Linked DNA regions of Tamandua tetradactyla. The protein of the gene in region 2 interacts with the protein of the main gene of each other region in a pairwise test. Links are inferred from orthologs where the notes say so. Each region holds a gene or a part of one and is shown on either strand. Other genes may lie near its edges.

What was found. The genes of interacting proteins can lie anywhere in the genome.
Region 1: the proteins of RBM10 (region 2) and RBM12B interact in a two-hybrid assay, tested with the Homo sapiens proteins (3 studies listed by BioGRID). The link is inferred for Tamandua tetradactyla from reciprocal best matches to the Homo sapiens genes RBM10 and RBM12B.

What each region holds. Positions count from the first base shown.
Region 1 is NC_135332.1:137,057,933-137,065,142, reverse strand, and holds the start of RBM12B (RNA-binding protein 12B), read left to right. Parts: upstream 1-4,186; 5' UTR 4,187-4,361; intron 4,362-7,210.
Region 2 is NC_135353.1:123,092,590-123,100,127, reverse strand, and holds the start of RBM10 (RNA-binding protein 10), read left to right. Parts: upstream 1-4,465; 5' UTR 4,466-4,768; intron 4,769-4,933; 5' UTR 4,934-4,985; coding exon 4,986-5,079; intron 5,080-6,870; coding exon 6,871-7,012; intron 7,013-7,538. Other genes in the region: NDUFB11 (NADH dehydrogenase [ubiquinone] 1 beta subcomplex subunit 11, mitochondrial), read right to left, coding at 2,017-2,143, 2,326-2,456, 4,015-4,221. UniProt on the Homo sapiens protein: Binds to ssRNA containing the consensus sequence 5'-AGGUAA-3'. May be involved in post-transcriptional processing, most probably in mRNA splicing. Binds to RNA homopolymers, with a preference for poly(G) and poly(U) and little for poly(A).

The sequences.
Region 1 (7,210 bases), on a different chromosome or scaffold from region 2:
AAGATACAAATTTCTTCATACTGGATGGAAGGAGGAGAATCCTGTGCCTTATGTGCTTCATAAGTGGAACAACCAGTTCTCCTTCTTTTCATCCTCTCCCATAACAGGGGAGAATGATGCCTCCTAACCTCTTGAGAGCTTCCCTGGCGCAAATCAGGTGGCTTCTCAGCTTTTCCCATTATCAATTTAAGGTTCAACCCTCTCGGTTTTACAAAAGAAACGATCACTCATTCCTAACTTTTCTGCTTGCATAGTTTTGTTTCTGTTGTCTTCTATCCTATTTTCTTTGTTCTTGTCTGTATTTATCTTTTTTACAAGCTCCTTTCTGTTATTTTATTAGGATTTCTGGAGGGAGTGGAGGCAAATGCCTAAATTCAAACTATTATCTTAATCTGGAAGCCAAAAATGAGGTCTTAACTGGTCTTCATGCACCTACTCTTACTACTGTATATTCCATTGACCAGCTGTAGCAATCTTTTGAAACGCAAATCTAAGATGTAACCTCCCTGCTTAAAACAGTTCACTGTTTTCCAGTACTCCTAGAAGAATGAACCATAATCTTCAAGAGAGTCTGACTTTTTCTTGCAGCCTCATGTTTTCCTGTGTGCTCCTGTGCACTCTATCCACTGTGATCCTCTTCCTGTACTTTTAATACCAGAGAGACTTTACACTTATCTGCCTGGAACTCTCCTCCTTTTCTCCTTACCCATGCCCAGAAATTTCCCTTAACATTGTTAACTTACCTTCCTTCCTTCTAGCTCATTCATTATTATTATTATTTTTTTTTTTGGTATGCTGGATGGTGAGGGTTACATTTCATTCTTTTCCCATTTGAGTATTCTGTTATTACAGCACCATTTGTTGAATTTTTGGGGGGGTGGGGGTGGGGGGGGGGAAGTGCGTGGGCCAGGAATTGAACCCAAATCTCCCACGTGGCAGGCAAGAATTTTAACACTGAACTATCCTAGCACCCCTTCATTCATCAGTTTCTAATGGTATCCCTCCTGCCTTCCTGACTAGGCCAGGCCCTCCTATGAAATACTTTCACAATACCATGTATTTTAGAGCACTTATCCCTTTGGTAAATTTACATTTAGATGTGCAATTCTTTCATCTGCTTTCCTCTCAGTGTAGTAAAAGAAAGGATTATGTCTCTTTTTGTTCATCATTTCTCCTCAGTACCAGGTGCTCTGCCTGGGCCATTGTATGCATTTACTACACATTTGTTGTAATGGAAAGAATAAACCAAAACTTGCTTCTTTCCCTTTATTCTCTAGCTTATTAACATCTTTCAAACTTTAAGGGGAACTCTGTGCTTTCTCTCCTCATTTCATCCCTGGGAAGGCAGCAGAGGGTCAATATGGGTTATGGCTGGAACCACAAGACCTCTGGACATGATCCTAAAGGACAGAATTATTTGGTGCATAATTGATATGGCTTTTTGAATTATCTTTTTTGGGCTTTTCCTTACATTCTCCTTGTTTGGAATTTTTTCTTAGATACTTCTTCCTCTGGCCTTCTTCGTTTTCATCAAACTGAGAGTGAATGGAACACAGCGAAAGAAAGCCTAACTAAAAGGAGACATCCTATTTCACATGTGGTCCTGACCACTTTCCCAGGAATGAGTTTGACAACTGAGATTTGGGGGCCAAAGCTTAAGAAATAAAATATGGTGATTTTACCCAGTATTTTCTCCTTTCTGCATATCTCCCATTCAGGATCCTTATCTCTATCTTTCTCTCCTGGAAGCAAGACTCACATTTATCTCAGGCAAGAAGTTATTCAAGATATTGAACACACAATCCACGTTCAGTAAATGTCAGTAGATTGAATGGAGGTCAAGTGTAGAAAAGGAATGAAGATCTTGGATAACATCAAAGAACTGTAAGGCCAAGTGATGCAAATACGTTCATGTGGATGTTGAAGAGCTATAGGAAGGGTGCATCTGAAAACTGTCTGAAACCAAAATCATTCAGGAGGGTAGATGGTGCTGTAGTTGTGATAAAATGCCTGGGGAGGCTGATTAACTGCTCACACAGAGTCACAAAGTCACCGGTGCTCAGTGTGGCCACCATGTTTCATGGTATAGTCCTCTCTTTTGCTGTTTCAGAAACATAGCTTTCTCTCTTTTCCCCCAAATGATTGGTTTTTCATGCAGAGACACTGAAGGCACAAAACCTCCGCAGTAATTGAAATATCATGTGGGAAAACCCAATTACCATGACTGGAATTTTCTTTCTTTCTTTCTTTCTTTTTTTTTTTTTTTGATTGTGTGGCATGTCCTCAAATCCAGTTATGATCATCTGAAAAATGTGGGAGGCCAACTAGAAAAGCCAGACATTCAATGTAGAAAAAGTCTGTGTGATTATGGGGGCTGATGAGCCCAGAACGATGGAGAAAGCAATGAGAAGCTGTCAATGTCTAGTTTAAGCCTGTTCAGGGGAGTGTCTGTTCTGGTCATATTTGGCCAGAGGAGCCCTCTAGCAAGTGTTCATGAAATGATAGCTATTGTTTTTGTTAATATGGGTAAGGATGTCTCCAGGTAGCCTTAACTGAAAAACATTTTTTGAGATTAGGTAACTCTTTGTGCTCTATCTCCATTCTTAGCAAATAACTTTCTGATCATTTGACTCCATATTGAGAATGCATACGGGCCAGGAAAGTGCTGGTTGATCTGAAATGATCTCAGATTCACTTTACTAGTGTTTCTTCTTTGGATTTAATGTTGATATTCTGGAATTTACATTTTGCTTTTGTGTGCTTGCTATTAAAGGGAGTCTGCCTCAGAATTCTTCTGTGTATTATAGTACAGTAGCCACTGGAGGCAAATCACTAGCATTCAATTCTTGGCATTACCTTGTACTATGTGACATTGGGCGAGTTATGCAACCCTCTATGCTCCCTTTCTCTTATTTGTAAGACAGGAAAAATAAGAGTACTGATGATAGTTTAAGAATAAAGTGAAATACTGCAAAGGGACTGATACATAACACACCCTCAAAAGCCCTTAAGGTCAGTTTCTTGAGCAAGACTGGGACCAAACACTGAAGTATGGGGAATAATCAAGGTAAATACTACCTAATCAATGTGACCAGCTCCCAAAGATGACTTCCTCTGCCTCTCTTTGTATCACTATGACAGCTGAAACAAGTGGCTAACAGAATCGTTCCAGATATTTGCATATATTAATTTATTCAACATTCCTTACAACTCAAAAGGTAGGTACTATTGTTATTCTGTTTTACAGATGAGGAAACTGAGGCATAGAAAGGTTAAGTGATTTACCCCACTCTGGGAACCATATTTTACTCACTTGTTAAACTACCTCGTTTCTCACAAACATATTAAATTTGAGAATGATTATTTTGCTGTGGGAGAAGGATTCAAAGCCCATTTGCTCACTCATCTGTGTCAATGTTTTAAAAATGTCATTTCTGCTTTTTTAGTAAACTTTTAATCAATCCATAAATGCATTATGTAATTGCATGGGCTTTTTATTAGATACAAATAATAATATAAAACCAAACATAAGTTGTTCACCAACTACTACATAGCAGGAATCAAAGAATTTGTACTTGTTCCTGTAATTGTGCTTTTCATTCCCCAATTTTCAGGACTAACACTTCTGTTCTCGTCTCAAAATACCTTAGGGTGGGAAGGATAAATTTATAAAGGCCCTTCTTCACAAAGTTACTAATACCCATAAAATTGAGAAAGAGCATTTATTAAGCCTTTGGGTGTTGTTACCATACCTGGCGTACATCTAAGGCAGTAAAATAAACACTTCTGTGGCCTTTTACAGTTTACACAGAGACTTTCAGAAGATGCTTATACCACATGGTAACAAAAGCATCAAAAGGACAAAGTAATCGCCAACTTTCCTCTTCTTTTGCATCTCTTTCTTTAACTCCTAGGAATCCCGAGCTTTTGTGCAGGAGGTATTCACCGGTTAATTTCTTCAAAAGCCCCCTCTGACTCCAACCAGTAGACCCTTTGTTTCCGAATTTCGCCTTCCCCTGGGCGAAGCTCACCGGTTGGCTGGAATCAGAACATGCGCGGAAGTTTAGCAAATTCAGGGCGGGTTGGCGCGTTTGCCAGGCACCGCCTCCCTTCCCCTAACAACTGGAAGCGGCGCGTGCGTACACGGGGCCTCCCGCCGGGCTGGTGGGTTACGTCTGGTGTGCGCATGTGCAAACAAACTGTACATCCGTTTGTCCCGACCGGAGGGGCGAGTGGGCGCCATCTTCTTCTAGGTTTGTTGAGGGCTCTGCCGGTTCTGCGGAGGCTGCTGCGACGAGGAGCGCCCGCCACCCCAGCCTTGTGTGTCCAACTCGGCAGCAGTGGTGTGTGTTTATTGCCAAGTGCGAAGCAGTTACCCTTTGGGTGTGGTGGGTGGGGAGGGTTGCGACGAGGACGAAAGAACAGGGAAAGGCGGGGCCGGTGGCCGCGCCATGATTTAGCGTAGCTTCAGCGGTTAGGGCACCCTCTTTTCTAGCTGAACACCACCTCTCGGGTCTGTCTCCGTACGGTGGTGTGTGTGTGCGTGCGCTTCCCAGTGACCTTGACAGTGAAGATCTCGAAGGATTTCGTAGGTATTTTTTTGTTTGCTATGTCATCGTAGTCATTAGAGGCAGGAAAACGCCTGGCTTGTTAAGACTTGAGAGGGGCGAAAATATTTCAATTAGGTTTGGGTACAGTTCATCCTGTGGCGAGTTAGCTTGGAATGTGAGCCTTTGGGACGGTGTAACAGAAAGGCACCGGAGGTTGGGCGGTCCAGGTTAATTTGAAGGCTGATTTTGGCTGAAGGCTTGGCGACAGCATCGGATCCCACGTAGCAACTTTGGCCTGGCGCGGAGGAAGTCCTGACCCCTGGGAGTGTGGACAGAGGCTTTGGGCTATAGAATCGATGCCTTCCGATGATCCCCGTTTGAGGATGATGGATGTTATGGGAAATCCTGTGCCATGTGGATTCGTCTTCATATACAGTTCATATTGGGGACCATGGCTCTGTGTCGTCATGCCTTTATTTTAACCATCTACGTGTAAAAAGGCAGATCATCGTAAAGAATAATTGTGGACTCGGGTAGATTTTCTGCAGGGGAAACTCGCATTTAGAATTTGGATGTTCTTCATCATAATTTTGGGTTTTAAAAAGTAGTCACAGGCAAACAGTAAAAGGTTTTCTCTCCCTCACCATGTCTGGAAAATGACTTGTTTGTTTGTCATTTAAAATCAAATGGCTCTGAGATAATGCCTATTAATTCATTCCCCGTTCTCTATTTCCTTATTAGTCTTTGTGTTGTTTTAGTAATAGTGATTTCCTTATTAGTCTTTATTTTGTGTTGTTTAGGAATAGTGGTGATTAAGTTGGATGAACCGTTGGGTAAAATCAGCAAAAAACACTTAAAATGAGCTTATTAATTCCAGTGGCTTACTCTGATATGAGCCCTTAGGATCCGCTTCATTCTTTCCATAGGTTTGTAGTTCTGGCAGATTGCTGTGTCTTTAAATCAACTCAGAGTCACTCAAATACTTTCGTTGCATTCTTTAGAAAATTTGTAAGTGCTGAGTACTTTAGAGTATTTTGTGTATTTGGCTTTCGGTGTAATCTAATGTTCTAAGTAGAATTTCTGGAGAATTTGCCTTAAGGAAATAGTATATGGGAATCATTGGAAGAGTGCTCATTTTGAGAGCTCATGTCTTACAGGTGTTCTCCTGGTTAGAGAAACAAATTACCCTGCTGTCCGAAAGGCCAAAAAGTCTAAGCGTTAGATAAAACTGGAAAATTAGAACAAACTTTAGTCTGCTTGAGTTGGAATTCATGAGATACTCATGTGATTGCTTAAAACATAGTTTCTAAGCTAGGATAAACTAATTACTGGAGATTTTTTTGTTTGACATATTATTCTTTGAGACATTTGCCACTAATTTTTCTGGTAGAAGAATTTGTGTTCTTAGGGCAAATCCCTTTTTAAATATTAAAAGTGCTTAGGGTGTACAAAATGGTGCATAACCAGTATGCTTTCTAAAATATTTTAAAAGTAAAAAAGTAGCAAAGTCAATTTGCATAGGAGGGAGTCTTGGAAATTTAATGTGTATAACTGTTTCAGAAGACATAGATTTTGTCGAAATGTTGGTGTGGATATTAATTTGTTGATGAAGCTAGGCTTATACTTTTTTTGGGGGGTACCATGAACATATTTTAATCTCATTAATTAGATATTGATAATAATTCAGATGTAGGAGTGCCAAGTAATTTCTTGGTGTCTTTATCTGTTTAGCTTTTAACAGTTTTAAAAGTAGTTTTAAAAGTGTAGTCTATGGCTCCCTTTTAAAAGAAAACAAACCTTACAGATCTCAAAGAATGTCTTCAGAATCCATTTTGAGGCACAAGGGTACTTAAGTGTAAATATTAAACTGCAGCAAAATTTATTTGCAGATTAAAAACATAAATTTATAATGATTAATTTAGTAAGTCTTAACAGTTTGACAGTACCTCAATAAGTATTGTTAGTTGTGTATCCCTGAGAGTATTAGATGTATGTTTCCTTAAAAAGAATAGTAAATTGAGTTTTTTTTTAAGTAGCTGTATTGTTAATTACCACATGTTCCAAGTTAATGTGTTTTTATTATATTTTTTAGTTTTCTATGGTGTCATTTGGGTTTCCTCGTTGGAGTGCTAGTTAGTTGTTTGAATGGGAATAAATTTATTGGCATGATAAGATTCTATAATTATCTCAACATTTTCTATCTAGCTTGGGATGAGTGTTAATAGTTATTGTCTTAGGAGTTTAAGACAAGAAGTGATATTGAGAACTTTGATTTTAGAGATATTTTACTATTTTCCTCAATTACATTTTAGATCAGTTTTTCAAATGCGAAGAAGAATCAAAAATTTGATTACATGTTTGGAAATGTGAGCTGTATATATAAAACTTAAAATTCTATCTAAATGGTAGTCTGTAATTTGGATTTGTTATTTTAAGAATGATTTTTGAATTTCAAGTGCTGGTAGTTTTTGCTCTTATGTATTTAAAGGGAGAAGGTGGTAGAAGAGTTGTACATAAATACGATCTAGATGTTTGGTTTTTTGTAGGTGAAAGTAATGGAAGGTTTTTTGGACTTTTTTTAAATGGCTATAAAATATATAAACAATGCAATGCCCAGATCTTAAGGTAGAATTCAGTGAGTTTTGATAAATTTATACATC
Region 2 (7,538 bases):
GAATGCCTACTTATCACCTCTTAACATGCATGTAATATACTCATTTATTGTGTTGCTTATTGTCTGTTTCTCCCTACTAGAATATAAAAAAAGGAATTTTTAAATCTTTTGTTCTCTGCTGTATTCCTATTGCCTATAACAGTGCCTGGCACCCAGTAGGGACTCAGTATTTTTTCTGAATAAATATTTCCTGTCATTCTGAGCTTTGTGACCAATTTTCACCAAATCTAATTATTTCAGGGTCAAATTTTGTCAGTGACTGGGTTACCTACACTCTTTGAAGCCCAAAGCAGGGATAAACACAGGAGTATGTAATGTGTGAATTCGAATGCATGAGCTGTGGAAGGGATGCTACCAGGGAGAGAGGGCGAGATGCCAGAAGTATGGAGTCCAGATTCCAGACTTAACAGGGAATTAGAAGAAACTCTTTGGAAAGAAACAGACAGCCAGAACCAGAGAAAGTGCCTTATTTCATCTGCCAGATCCAAAGACAGCCTGAGAGAGTGAGCCTTTATGCAAGACAGCCTATTTCCAGAGAGAGACAGACAGAAGAAAAGACTTCCTGCTTGAGAGACAGACACAGAGACAGAGAGCAAGAAGGGGGGAGAACACACACACACACACACACACACACACACACACACACACACACACACACACGGGTGCATATTTTGAGTTACAAACCACCCAGATTCGGGGTAGAAGGGAAGAGAGGGGCATCCAGACTCACTAAGACAGAGGCAGAAACTTCAAAGTCCAAAGAGAAACAGAGAAGGCAGGGATGGGGACAAACACCCACCCTCAGTGTAGTAGTTAGTTTCAGGTGTCAACTTGACCAGGTGATGGTGCCTGTTGTTCTGTTGTTGACTTAAATCATCAGTATGTGAAATTCTATGGCCAATTATACCTGCGGTCAGCTAAGGGGTGTGCCCTCTGCAATGAGTGACATTTAATTTAATTAGCTGGAGGCTTAAAAGAGAAAGGTCAGGGGTGGTGCGACTTAGCTCAGTGGCAGAATTCTCGCCTGCCATGCTGGAGACCTGGGTTCAATTCCTGGTGTCTGCCCGTGCAAAAAAAAAAAGAGAGAGACAGAGAAAGCTCAGAAGAGCACTCAGCAACTCAGAACCAGACATTTGGAGATGCAGAAAGGAATTGCCCTGGGGAAAACTGTTTGAACCCAGAAACTGGGAGGGAAGACCAACAGATATTGCTGTGTGCCTTCCCATGAAACAGATAAAGCCAGAGGAAAGCCAGCTGCCTTTCCTCCAAAGAACTGTAAATTTGTAACTAAATAAATCCCCTTTATAAAAAGCCTGTCCATTTTTTTTTTTTTTTTTTGGTGTATTGCATTCTGGCAGCATTAGCAAACTAAAACACTCAGCAATAGAACAGCCCTGCTCTGCTCACCACCCTCAATGCCAGGTCTTCCTAGCTCTTCTTCAAATTGAAGAGATTGCTATGTGGTAGCTTGTCTCTAAAGATGACTGTCATGCATTTCTTTCTATATGCTACTCCCTTATCCAGGGGAGCCCTGAGCCACCATGTAAGAAGCCCAGGCCCTTCTGCTAGAGAGGAAGGCCATACAGAAAAAGACTCAAGTGCCAGTCATGTGCCTAAAGAAGTCTTGGACATCCAGCCCAGTTGAGCCTTCAGATGGCTCCAGCCCCAGCCACCATCTGACTGCAACCACCTGAGAGATCCCAAGGAAGAACCATCTAGGTGAGCCCTGCCAATCCATAAATACACGAGAGAGAATAATAAAGTGTTGTTTTAAGCTACAAGTTTTAGGGTGGTTGTTACACAGCAATAGATAGCCAGAACACCAAAAAAAGGCTGCAAGTGGCCCTTTTAAGGCTTGTGATACCAGCCCCCTGCCAGCCTCCCCTCCTCGACAAAATCAACAGCTAGCCAGGCAGACTTTCAGTCCCTTTAATCATCAGGTGCTCTGAGGAGATGGCAGGATGGTGGGAGGGGAGTGGAGAGGGAGGTGCTTCCAGAGCCCCACTCAGCAACTGGTTACTGCTCATCCTCTGGCAGCTGGATCTTGCTGGGGTCAAAGCAGTTGGATTCCATGAGGGGGAGGCCATTAGCTTCGCGGTACTTTACAAGCCTCTCCGCTTCCCGGCGGGCCCACTCTCGCATCCTGGAGATGGCAGCAGCAGGAATAGACAGGAGGGAGCCTCACCAAACACCAATCCAATCCCCCATCTCAGCTCCCCTTTCCCCAACAGTGCAGGAACAGGATTCCTGGCAGAGTTCCCTTCAACCCCGACCCTTGCCTCTGCTCCCCCCCACCCATCCCACTCTCTCAGACTTCCCATGTACCTGTAGTCAGGCAGGTAAGCCACAAAGGTGCTGCCAAGGACAAGGACAATGGAAAAGCCAAAGAAGAAGACGGCCCGCATGTTCCAGAGGTCCACAACAGGGTCCGTGTCATAACCATGGGAGTCTGGGTTCTGTGGCAGGATGATGATATCAATGAGAGCTTCCTGCTTTTCCATGAAGCCTCATGCTGGCCCTTTATAACCTGGTTTCCAATCTCACCTCGGACCAACATTCTCTCCCTCACTGTATTCCTCTCTTTCTATTTTTAGGACATGCCAAGTTTCTTCCCATCACTAGGCCTTTTGCACTTGCTGTTCCCTCTGCTTTTCTCCCAGATCCAGTCATGGCTGGCTTCTCCTCACTCAATTCCTTTAGGAGGTGTTCATTAATCACCTTATCGACTACATTGAACCATATGAAACTACCACTTAAAATGGTTGAACGTTGGTAATTTTCTGTGGTTTCAATCTAATAAGGTAATTCCCAATCTCCATGTCACTCTATCCCCTTATGCTGCTTAACTTTCTTTTCATTTCTTTCTTATGCTGCTTAACTTTCATTTACCATTATTTGAGATTATTTACCAAAGTAACATCTGCCCAGATCCTCTGTATCACATTATTGTATTACCTATTATATTATTCTATATTATTGTCATCCAATAGTTTACATGTTTATTTTTAAGTCTTCCCCCAACATCACTTAAGCTCTATGAAAGTACAGGCTTTGTCTGATTTCCACATTGCTGTATCCCTAGGACCCAGAACTGTGCCTGGCATACAGCAGGCCCTCATTACATATTTACAATGAGTAAAAAGTGAATAAGCGTTTTGCAAATCTAACTCTGTAAACCAGAAATTAATTCTGATGTGGTACCTATTATGTGCCAGGTCTTTTTACATATGCAAACCTCACAATATCCCAACAGGCAGAAAGTGCCAATAATAATTTACAGCTTCTAAAGCTGAGTACTTACCAAGTACAAGCTGCTGTTCTGACCATTTTGGTTAATTTAATTGCATGAGGCAGGTATAGTATTCTATTCTTTAGATAGTGTTTTTATTACTTCCCCATTTTACAAAGAAAACTTAGGCACAAGAGGTTGAACCACTTGCCCAAGGTCACACAAATGAGTAACTATTAAGTGTCTGGATCCGAACCCAGGCCATTTGACTTTAGAGTCTGTTATTAATACAGGACAGCAGACCAGTAGACCTAGGTTCAAATACCTATTTCCACCATGTATTCAGTTATGTTATGTTAGCTGAGACAAGCATCTAACATCCCTGCGCTTGTTCTCGCATCTGTAAAATGGGTATATAATAGTGTCTATCTCAAAACATTATTGCTTCTTAGATGAGCTAATGCATATAAAGTCCTTAGAACACTGCCTGGCAGAATAAGCGCCATATTGGTGTTTAATATTATTGTTGTTATACTATATTGCTTCTAACGTGGTTTGAGAATTGCCCACTTCAAGTTTGATTTCTGTCTGCAAAATAATGCCAATCCCGCATCTGGCCCTAGACCAGACTCTCAGGGGACAAATTAGGCGAACAAGCTAGGCAAAATTCATAGAGGATTTCGCCAGCTGCGCAACCTTCGGTCAACTAAGAACGTCCTCTACTGCGCTCCGTCAGCCTGCTCCCGATTGACCCTTTCGACGTCCTAGTTCCCCCTCCCTCTCACCTTCTCGTAGAGGTTTTCGTCCTCGGGATCCGGGTCCTCCTGCCAGCGTATGGTCGGTTCCCGAGTACGCTTCTCCGCCACGACAGGTGGAGCGACTACAGCCCGAGAAGAGCCGGATTCCCAACGGACACGGGCAGCCGGGAGCCCCCGCGTCGCAGCTGCAGCCAAAATGCGGCGAGCGTACAAACCTAGTTGCCCGACCGCCATGATAGATTGCTCCGTAGTAACTTAGGGGCGGGGACGGCAATGCGATTCTGCGCAGCTGCAGTTTGCGCGTGCGCGATATTTGTCGCTCCGCCGCCGCCGCAGTAAATAAGTCTCAGGTCTGATTTTCTTTTCAAATGAGGCGGGGCGCTGCGTGGCCCTCTTTCCCTCTCTCTGTCATGTCCTGGAGGGACCAACCCTTCTCTTATCCTCTCCTTCGGGCTGAGGAGTTTCTTATTGACAGGTCTGCTCTCTTCCTTGATGGGAAAAAAGCGGTGTCATTTGGGTGGTTCACAGCCAATCGCACAGCGAGTTCCCTTGCTGTTTGGGGAAGGGGCGGGGCTTCCGTTTGCCTTTCATCTTCAAAGGAAGCCAAGCTTCTAAGAAGCGGGCCTCGCGGGATTGACCAATGGCCACTCTTTTTCTCGACTTGCGGGCGTTCGCACGCGGGAGTGGGGAGGTGGCATTCGCTTGCCAATCAGAGGAGGCCAGGGTTGGCCGACCGCGGGCGGCGACCAATAGACGAGGACCGGCGGAGCGCGCTCCCTTAGTAGGTGGATGGTGGTCGAAGCACCGGTTCCCTTCTCGTCGTCGCCATTTTGTGTGGCTGTTTGAGATCGACTGGGAGTAGGTGGCAGTGGGTTTTCCGGGGAGGGTAGCGCGTCTGGCGCTTCTCCCTTCCCCTTTCTCCCCTCCTCCTCCCCTCTGCCTCCAGCCACGGACTTGGTGGTTACGCTGACCAGCTCCGGCTGAGCTGGGAGAGTTGGATGCGGTGGCGACGGGCCGAGGTGATGTCTGGGAGCCCTCCCGTGACAGCCCGGACCGAGAAGGTGAGCGTCGACGCTGGTCTTGAGGGTGGAGGTAAGGGGCTGGGAAACGGGGTGCGTAGAGGAGCGCAAGGAAGGACTGCGGGCCAGGGGCCTGGAGGGTGCGCGGAACTGAGGGATGAGTGCACAGTCTGAACCCGGGAGAGGGTGACTTTTTTTTTTTCCCCTTTGAGACCAAAGGCGCGTGCGCGATTGGGACCACGGGGATGGGTGCACGCGAGTTGGGGGAAGGGAGGGAAGGATGGGAGTGGGTTACTGTGGCTTACTGTCAGTGACGCTGGGCTTTATCCCTGGAGAGTCGGGTGTCTGCGACTTTAGTTTTTATCCACAGGGGAGGGGATGTGCTGTCTGCTCGGTCTATGTGACTGGTACCTGTCTATCAGTGGGGACATGTTTTGTGGCTCTGGTCCTTATTCGTGAGCCGGCGGGGGCTCATAGTTTGTACGACTCCGCTCTTTATCCCTAGGGTATGTCTGTGACTCTGGTCCTTACTCATGTGGGGTAGGGGGTGGGGGGGCAGTGTCTAGGCCCTAACCCACTTATTGAGTGTAGGGAGTGTATGTGTGGTTTATTGCCCCTTCTTTTGAGAGGTTTCTATCTGTGACTGTGATACTTATCCATTGAAAGGGAGCTCAGTGTGTGATTATGGCCCTTATTTATTGCGGGTCTCTATCTGTGATTTCTGCCTGTAGTTATTTGGGGCTCGTATCTGTGACTTTGGCCTCTATCTGTTGTGGCTCTGGTTCCTTTGCCAGAGCCTGTATCTGGGTTTCATCCAAGTGGACCCCTGGTTGTGATTCTAATCTTTAGGTATCTGGAGATAGGTAACTCTGGTTCCCTGTGGCTTGAGGAGGAAGAGAAAATTGGTGTGTGTATGCATGGGGAAAGGTGTGGTGGCATCCTAGTGTTGGGCAGGTGCTGTAACCGATAGGCTTTTCTCAGATTCCTGTTCACAGGGTGGGGCCTGAAGATTCAGGATATATCATGACCCTTGGCTGGGTCACATGGCTCCGCAACCCTCAGGGTTGAGTGAGTTGACTGACTGCTCCTCTGGCCTAGCAGAATAGCACAGTGGTTTGAAACAGCCTCTGAAAGGGCCCCTGTTACGTCTGAGAAGACTTGGGCCCAAACCCTGGGGAGAGAGCCACTTTGGGACCTGGCTGAATATTAGTTTGACCCAATTGCCCTGTGAGAGCCAAAGCTGAGCTGGCCAGGAGCCTAGTGAGACAGCAGCTATCTCGTTGCCAAATTAGCCCCCACCCCCCTCCTCACCCAAGAATGTTTCATGGTCTCCTTCCTGTCCCCTTGCAGAATCTTGTTAGGAGGACGAAATGGCTCCTGGGGGCCTAGAAGGAGCCTGGTGGATGCCTGAGACTCCCCTTGCTGTGGAGTCTCACCTCTGTACTTAAAGTGTCTATTCTGTGGCAGGTCATTCAGCGCTAAGCGCTCCCCTGGGCAGGCAGCTTGTCTACAAGTCTCAGGTGGCAAATCCCTGAATACTGGATGGGTGGGTGACATCACTACCCCTCCAGTCTCCGAGGTCTGTGGCCCCTCTGAGTGTTCCAGCTCTCTCTACAAGATGCTCTCCTATCTGATGACGGTCTTGCTATTTCTAGGGAGAGGGCTCTAGCCACGTGTTTGTGGAGAAAGGAAGAAGGAGGCCAAGCAGTAGTTGTATTCCCATTTTGGTCTACAGGAGTACTAGGAGTTGGAAAACAATGTCCCAGGCTAAAGAACAGCAAAATATCTGGACAACCAGAGTTTCTCAAGGAGACCTTTTCTGCCCCAGCTGCCTTGACCCCTTTCTTTCCTCCCATCTCCCTAGAGTCCCTACAGGAGGAATCACCCAGGCTGGCAGATCATGGTGGCAGCAGTGGGGGTGGCTGGGAAGTGAAACGGAGCCAGCGGCTAAGGAGGGGCCCCAGCAGCCCCCGCAGGCCCTATCAGGATATGGAGTATGAAAGACGGTAAGTTATCCTCCCCCACTCCTACAAAGCAGTTTAGGCTTGTCCCCAAGTGAGCATTGGTTCAGGAAGATGCTAGGAAAGGCCTTGCAGACAGAGGAAATAGCAGATGATTGATTTATTTTCAGTAGACATTTGACACCTTTTGTGGGCCAGGAACTGTGCTAGGCTCTAGGAATGCAGTGATAAATGAGACAAATAAGGTTTCAGCCCTGTGTTACTCAGGGTCTCACAAGGGAGATGGTACAGTTTGCAGGTGATTACAATAAACACAGTGGATTCCATGGTTGGATATGAGGTTGGGAGGGGATCAAGAAAAAGGTAGGAGTTGAGGCTGATCCCACATTTCCAATTTGGTTGACCTGGATAGGTATGTGGTGTCATTTACTAAGTTGAGGACAGCTGCTGCAGGAAGAGAGGCAGAGGTTGGGGTCAGATGAGTATTGGGTTGTAAGTGCCTGTGGGTCAGGAGAGAGATTTGGAAGATGGGTAGGGGTGGGACTTTCAGAGTCAGGAATTTGTCCAGGTC